2 linked regions of the Danio rerio genome follow. The main gene of each other region encodes a partner of the protein of the gene in region 2 in a complex. Links are inferred from orthologs where the notes say so. Each region holds a gene or a part of one and is shown on either strand. Other genes may lie near its edges. The genes, in order: arpc3 and arpc1b.

What was found.
Region 1: arpc1b (region 2) and arpc3 share a complex: the UniProt entries of both Homo sapiens proteins name them as parts of the arp2/3 complex. The link is inferred for Danio rerio from reciprocal best matches to the Homo sapiens genes ARPC1B and ARPC3.

The regions. Positions count from the first base shown.
Region 1 is NC_133196.1:18,449,539-18,454,016, forward strand, and holds the start of arpc3 (actin-related protein 2/3 complex subunit 3), read left to right. Parts: upstream 1-1,402; 5' UTR 1,403-1,437; coding exon 1,438-1,443; exon of another isoform or gene 1,444-1,645; intron 1,646-1,880; coding exon 1,881-1,980; intron 1,981-2,123; coding exon 2,124-2,200; intron 2,201-4,382; coding exon 4,383-4,451; intron 4,452-4,478. Other genes in the region: protein FAM216A, read right to left, coding at 1,296-1,402. UniProt on the Homo sapiens protein: Component of the Arp2/3 complex, a multiprotein complex that mediates actin polymerization upon stimulation by nucleation-promoting factor (NPF).
Region 2 is NC_133178.1:39,766,532-39,770,362, reverse strand, and holds part of arpc1b (actin-related protein 2/3 complex subunit 1B), read right to left. Parts: intron 1,318-3,831; coding exon 1,213-1,317; intron 1,119-1,212; coding exon 896-1,118; intron 1-895. UniProt on the Homo sapiens protein: Component of the Arp2/3 complex, a multiprotein complex that mediates actin polymerization upon stimulation by nucleation-promoting factor (NPF).

The sequences.
Region 1 (4,478 bases), on a different chromosome or scaffold from region 2:
CAAATGTGTTTTATTTTGCTCAAAATCTTCTTGTTACATTTTATCTTTGAAGTGTAACAACTTTAGAGATCTTTTCAATACTATAGTATTGTTACAATATAGTTAAAACTATAGTATTTGAAGATTAAACCAGTGGGTAAAACTAAATGGTAATTAAAAAGCACCTTGGTTTCTAAACTTTTACAGGAAATAAAGCCATGGTTTGTTTTGGTAACAGAAGACATTGATAGTGACGTTCCTTAAATTTCCAGAATAGTGGTTGATCTTGGTTATTTATTCAGTGGCTGTTAAACTTTTATATTGAACCTTCCAGTCTTGAATATTTGATTTGAACCTTGTTAATAGGAGGTAGGAATAGTTCACGCATCATTTACTCATCCTCCTTTTGTTGCAAACCTATTTGAGTTACTTTCTTCTGTTGAACACAAAAATAAAAGATATTTTAAAGAATGTTGGAAACCCTGAACACTGGAACACTGACCTCATTTCTGGGTGAACATTTTATTAATTGATAGTTTACCCAAAAATGAACATTGTCATCAATTACTCACCCTATACTTGTTTCAAACCTTTGAGTTTATTTCTTGTGTTGAACACAGGAAAATTCATTTATTTTCCTTCGGCTTATACCCTTTGTTGGTCATTGGTTACCACAGCGGATTGAACCACCAACTTATTCAGCATATGTTTTACACAATGAAAGCCCTTCCAGCTGCAACCCACTACTGGGAAGCACCCATATACTCATTCACACACATACACTACATCCAATTTAGTTTATTAAATTCACCTATAGTGTTTAGACAGTGATGGGGAACCAGCGCACCCGAAGGAAATCTACGCCAACACAGGGAGAACATGCAAACTCCACACAGAAATGCCAACTCCCAGCCGGGACTCGAACCAGCACCCTTCTTGCTTTGAGGCAAGAGTGCTAACCACTGAGCACTTTTTTTCCCTGTGGATGTCAATGTTTACAAGTTTTAATTTTTCTTCAAAATGTCCTTTAGTGTTAAACGAAAGAAACTCAAAGGTTTGGAACGACTTGAGGGCGAGTAAATATAATTTTTTGTGTGAACTAAATCAAATCAAATCACTTTTATTGTCACATCTGCAGCAGCATCATCTATGGTGAGTGAAAAGCTTAACTAACCCTTTAAATCTAAAATACTAAAACTGTGTAATCTTTTCGACTGTCGTGAGGTGAAAATACTTTGCGCATGGAACGTTTTTTGAATATTCAATGGATATTTTACTGGATAATCTCTGGGGGAAAGAGAGACTGTAACCGTTACCTTTGGCGCCCTCCAGTGGTTTTGGCGAGATATTGTACTGGAAACTTCCTGTATCGGTGAAGGGTGGGACAGGCGGAAGCGACGGCTTGCAGCGCTGACATATTCATTTCTGCCTGCTAGGTTTGGGACATATTGTACCAAAATGCCGGTAAGAAATATTCACACATAACGATTTACACCACGAGCGCCATTGTTTGCTTTATAGGCGGTTGTGCCACGTTATACGTTAGAGCAGCGGGGAGCTAGAAAATATTTAGCTCTATTAGCCGAAGAGCTAATGTAAAAATCATGATACTCTCATCGTTTTTCCACAAATTTGACAGTTTTACGAATTTATTTATTTATTACATGTTTGAGTTTATCAAATGATCCCAAATATAAACATAGAAGTGTCAGAAAATGCGTTGTTTAAAACAGAATTGGTGAATCAGGTAATGTTGCAAACAACTGGATTTCCTCACTTAAATTAACGTTGTGATTTTTTTCTGTAAATATTAGTCCTTTTTAAAACAAATGTTTGCTCCGTCATATTGAAAAAAAAACATTATTAGTCTTGCGTTTTATGTCATCTTTCACTCTTTTTAGGCTTATCACTCAGCCCTGATGGATGCAGACACCAAACTGGTGGGCAATATGGCATTACTGCCCCTCAAAACACAGTTTAAGGGTCCTGCTGCTAGAGAAAGTAAGACAGGATTTACTTTTGTACTATTTAGGATCTAACAGTTAACTTACTTTGAGATATGAGATGTGTTTAACTCTACCTTAAATGGTCATTAGTAAAGAGTGTCTGACAAACCAGATTTCCTTCCTGTTTTTTATTACCAGCTAAAGACACAGACATCATTGATGAGGCCATTTACTACTTCAAAGCCAATGTTTTCTTCAAGAACTATGAAATAAAGGTAAGGAGCAAATGACCGTGCTGGAAGCGTGAAGGAGCCTGAAAAATGTACTTGCGTGCCTTAACCTGCATTCATAGTTCTGCGCTCAGAGAAGAATTAATATTCACTTTGTATTCGAATTTAAAGGCATGGTTCTCTCAATAATGAAAATTTACTCACCCTCAAGTGTTTCCAAACCTTTATGAGTTTCTTGCATATTTAAGAAGATATTTTGAAGAACAATGTAACCATTGACTTCAAAAGGAGACACAAATTCTATAAGAGTCAACAGGCCCGTAGCCAGCCTGGTGAAAGGGGGGGGGGGGGTCTTTTTTACAAAATGTGGACCTTTTTGATGTTATTCGCCTTACGTTCTATTTAATTCAGTGACATTTTAAGCCCTAGTTTTAGCTAGATTGTTGGGTGGTCATCCTAACCACACTTTTTGATGTACCAAAATATTTTCTAAAGATTTACAATACTGAAATAAATACTGAATAAAGAATACTTATCTTTAAAATACAAATGTATTACATTAGAACAAAAAAATAGGAATCTGTTGAAGTTTTAAATTAAAAACTAGTCTATTGTCATTTGTTAGGCAAATAACAAACTGACCAGTACATTCAACTTTGCTCTGTCAGAAATTTAAAATTATTATTATTTTAAATAATTAAAAATTTAAACAGTAATTACATTTTTGTTTTAAGAATAAGGTCCCAGATTTAGAATAAAAGTTACTGAAATGTTTTCTCTATTTAACAATACAGTAGCAAAATATGAGTTCACATACATTAGATTGCATGTTTTCTTGCATAGATGGATGTTGGAATCATGAAAAATAAATGTTTGCATTGACCAAATAGATTAGCTGAAGTCACACGATGTGATGGCCAGCAGAGCGTTCTGCTTGATCTTAAAGCTTTTCGATGGGTTATTTTTACTATTTATGATGACATAGCAGTCAAAATAGGACAAACAAGCCTAAGCCTATGTAGCAAATTGTGGACCTTTGTCAGTGGGTCTTTCGAACCTACTTTTTTTTTTTTTTTTTAATCTATATCCTCTTTTGTAAGAAAGTAAGTCAAACAGGTTTTGAACTAGTGAAGGGAGAGCAAATGATGGCATTATTTTACGTTTTGGGTGAACTATCCCTTTAAACTGTGTACCTATAAACTGTATGTATGCACATATTATTTACTTCAGTTTATATCAGATTTTGAATTTGTTGGATTTTTGATTGAAAGGGATGGCTCTGTGATAGGTTGCACATCCTCATAAGGGCTCAGCATTAAGCCTTGATGTCTATGTTGGTCACTAAACGGAAATGAAAAAGATATTTTAGTTGATCTTTAATTTGATTTCCAAGGCAGTGTTTTCATTTATAAAGGCCATTTTCCCCTAACTGTATTAAATGTGTGCTTCATTTTAACACAATAAGACATTGTCAGGCTGTTACCAGTTTGAGCATCAAAAACAGTCATCTGTCCACTGGCATTTAGATCTGTTTACACAGACAATAATAAAGCTCAAGTGCATGAATGCATCTACATTGCAAAGTTACTACTTCAGATATGTTATGTTTTTAAACCCTTTTAATGCGCAAGTTTTGAAAAGCTACATTCCATGCACTTGTTGTAAAAAAAATTCTGTCTTTTATGTTTACTTTTTAAAAAAATTATTGGTGACAAAATAAAGTAAAAAAAAAAAGCATAATTAGCAGTTTTGTGTCTAAAAATGCCATGTATTCTAAATCTAAATCTCTATAAGTGTCGTGTGTAAAAGTCATGTAATATCTACTTTTGTCATGTCATATATTTATAATACACATACATACATACATACATACATACATACATACATGCATGCATACATGCATGCATACATACATACATGCATGCATACATACATACATGCATACATACATACTTTCACTTTCACTAAAACATTCCTATACAAGCAGTGAAGTAAAGCCCTGCTCACCTCAAATTAAACATGAATATTAAATTTGAATAATGTTGCTAACCCAAAATATACAACGGAGGTCAATTAAAATCTCGTTCGCTTTACTAAAGGAAGAAATTCAAACAGGTTTGGAGTAAACTGTAATGAATAATCATGACTGGGAAATGTACATTTTGTGTGAACTGTCCTTTAAATGTTAAAGATTTTGTATTAAAATATTATTTTTAACTTGCTTTAGAATGAGGCTGATCGAACCTTGATCTACATCACTCTTTACATCTCTGAATGTCTCAAGAAACTCCAAAAGGTAATGAAAGATTCATACTCTAATAGG
Region 2 (3,831 bases):
AACTTGTGTAAAAACAAAGATAAATTTAAGAATTCCACCAATCCTAAGACCCAACATGTCTTTCTTTGTCTTTTATTATTTCACCAATGTTAACAGTTCCAAATTGACTGGCCATGCTGTGTGTAAAATGTACATTAATAATAACTAGTGAAGGATTGTACAAAATTTGCCATGTGAAATGTCTTAGATTTATCATTCTGAATAGTCTGATATATTGCCGATATGGCAAAGCAGTGGCGCAGAAGGTAGTGCTGTCGCCTCACAGCAAGAAGGTCGCTGGTTCTAGCCTCGGCTCAGTTCGCGTTTCTGTGTGGAGTTTGCATGTTCTCCCTGCGTTCGCGTGGGTTTCCTACGGGTGCTCCGGTTTCCCCCACAGTCCAAAGACATGCGGTACAGGTGAATTGGGTAGGCTAAATTGTCCGTAGTGTATGAGTATGAGTGTGTGTGTGTGTGTGTGGATGTTTCCCAGAGATAGGTTACGGCTGGAAGGGCATCCGCTGTGTAAAAACTTGCTGGATAAGTTGGCGGTTCATTCTGCTGTGGCGACCCGGATTAATAAAGGGATATAAGCCAACAAGAAAATGAAGGAATGAATGAATATTGCCGATATGTAGTCTGATATATTTAACATGTAATCTATGAGCCAGATTTCTCCTATATAGAAGCCTCAGCAAATGAAATATCTACTTTGAAATGACTAGCATCCTCCATTGTCCATTTTAGCCACATCATTCCTGCTTTTAACCAAGCAGTGTTTTAAACTCTTTAAAAAACATTTAAAAATAAAAGAGCCAAATCTGCCATCTGCCTCATGACATAAGTAGATTAACCACCATCAGTCAGTTCTTTTCTGTCAGAAGAAGCTCAATATCCATTTCTCCTGCCTGATACTCACCAGTCATTATCCTGCTCAAAATAGCACACAGAGATCAGACGTGAGCCGCTGCCCACAGCAAACTTGTTTTCCTTCGGAGACCATTTCACACAGCGGGCAGCACGGTTGATCCTGAGAATGACCAGTGTAGGCTTCCATGCGTCTCCCTTCAGGGTCCAGACGTATGCGTTACGATCAGTGCCGCAGGTGACGATGCGATTGCTCTCTGGGGCCCAATCAATGCCTTGGTGTTGATGAGAAAACCATTTGGATTAGTTTAGATTTGGTCACATAAATGATCTGTGTCAGTGTAGGTCGGATGAACCTTCTAAACTTACCAGTAACCTGGCCATTGTGTTCCTTCAGCACGTGGATTTTGTTCCAGTTGTTTCCTGCCTTATTGTAGATGTGCACTTCATGGTTATTAGGACACAGTGCAATTTCTGAAGGAGACAGGAATCCAGTAGATAAAATATTCAAAGCAAGACTATGACAAACATACATTGACTTGATTAATTGGATAACAGTCTAAATATTTTATTAGTTGCTACTAGTTTATTCAGTGTTTATTAGTGGAATCTATTGTCGTGGAAATCTGCTAAAATGACTCTCAGTTTTCTAAAAAAAAAAATCTGTCATCCGTTTTATTCCCCTCAGTGCACGTACATTCACATTTGTGTCAAACTCCAGGAAAGATACATTTCTGGTGGGAAAGAAGAGATCTTTTTGCTATTTTCTAACTCCTAACTTGAAATGTCACTACAACGTGTGTGACTTTGGCCTTGGCCAGCACATTCTGCTTCTCTGCATTCATTTAAACAAACTCTGCATTCATTAAAACAAATAGCTGACATATCTAGCTATCTATCTATCTATCTATCTATCTATCTATCTATCTATCTATCTATCTGTCTGTCTGTCTGTCTGTCTGTCTGTCTGTCTGTCTATCTATTTACCTACCTACCTCTCTCTCTCTCTCTCTCTCTCTCTCTCTCTCTCTCTCTCTCTCTATCTATCTATCTATCTGTCTGTCTGTCTGTCTGTCTGTCTGTCTGTCTGTCTGTCTGTCTGTCTGTCTATCTATTTACCTACCTACCTCTCCCTCTCTCTCTCTCTCTCTCTCTCTCTCTCTCTCTCTCTCTCTCTCTCTCTCTCTATCTATCTATCTACCCACCCACCCACCCACCCATCCGTCCATTCATCTATCTACCAAAGCCTCATAGAAATTTACACTAGATATCGCATACGGATGTGGCATCAATACTGCCACCATATGTAGTGCTCCCAGGACAGAAGTCATTCAACCGCACTAGTTAGACTAAAGTCAATATGACAATGCTGGATTTAGCGCTGTGTATGGGTGTAACTTTTATATTTTTGTATTTTGTGAACTTTTGTGCTAAACAAGAATTGATGATAATACAGTCACTTACTGCACTGTCCACAAGGCAAAGTAGTACCAACTCGCACTCACTTCTAGGACTATGCTAGTTTTGTTGAATAAAATCAGCAATGTAAATGAAATATGTCAAAAAGACACTGCAGTGCCAGAAACTTGTTTTATTGTATGCTAAGTGAAGTAATGGCTATAGTTTTTAAAGTAACTTATAAGGATGCCTGATTACATAAGTGTCTGCGCCTCAATGTGCATACTGTCTACCCTAAATAATTGAATGTAACAAATTTTATATACCATTTAGATCAGAAAGGTGGATATGCACATTGAGATGCAGAGATATGGATGGTTACACAAATTGTTCATAACAGGAAGATTCATTCACTAACAAATCGCTCTCACCATTATAATTAAAAGTGAAAGCAGGAGAGGGGGTGTGTTTCAGGACATGGATTAGATCAAATTTAACAGGGAGGATAATACATTTCCATGTACACAAACACATGGTCTTTGTTAGCAATAACTGTGCGGTCACTTTTCCATCATTGTTGAAAAGTTTATTTTCTTTTCGGCTTAGTCCCTTTATTATTCCGGGGTCGCCACATCAGAATGAACCGCCAACTTATTCAGCACATATTTTACGCAGTGGATGCACTTCCAGATGCAACCCATCTCTGGGAAATATTCATACACTTTCATTCACATTCATACATTACGGACAATTTAGCCTACCCAATGCATCTGTACCACATGTCTTTGGACTGTGGGCGAAACCAGAGCATACCAACATGAACGCCGGGAGAACATGCAAACTCCACACAGAAACACCAACTGTCCCAGTCGAGGCTCGAATCAGCAACCTTCTTGAGGTAAGGCAACAGCACTACCTACTGCCCCACTGCGTTGCCCTGATGTAAATGATATTTTTCATCATTTAAAAGAAAATTTGCATACAGAGCACCATTTCAAAGGAGTGCTACCCTGTACTAAAATGGCGGCTCTATTGACATATTCCTTCTAATAGAACAACAGGACAAAATCTAATGTAATTATCTATGGCAGAGCCTACCAATTAGCCAATGGAAACATGCTAAATCATGCTAGCAACATGTGCTAATCAAATGTTAAAAACATGTAAGTAAAATGCTAATTCTTGCTAAAATGCTAAATATTGCTAAAAGCATAATACCAATGTACTAAAGCACGTTAAACACATAAATATGCTAGAAGTATGCTAAATCATAATTTCTGTTAAGTGCATTCTGTGTCCCCAGTGAAGATCATGATATCATTGACTTTTAAACTTTAAGCATATTTATTTATTTATTTTTTAAATAAAGATCCCAAATATCCCTAAACATCCCAAAAATCACATTCCAGGTCCGTGTTTGCACTATTTAGGATGGATAAAACACTTAATATGAGTGATAATATTAAAAGTATATAATTGTAAAAACAAAGAATGTTTTCAATTTGTCTCAAATTATTGTTCACCTGTTATGAGATTACTAGCCCTTTAAATTCAAATTGTCACAATAAAATGACATCATATATTAACCAC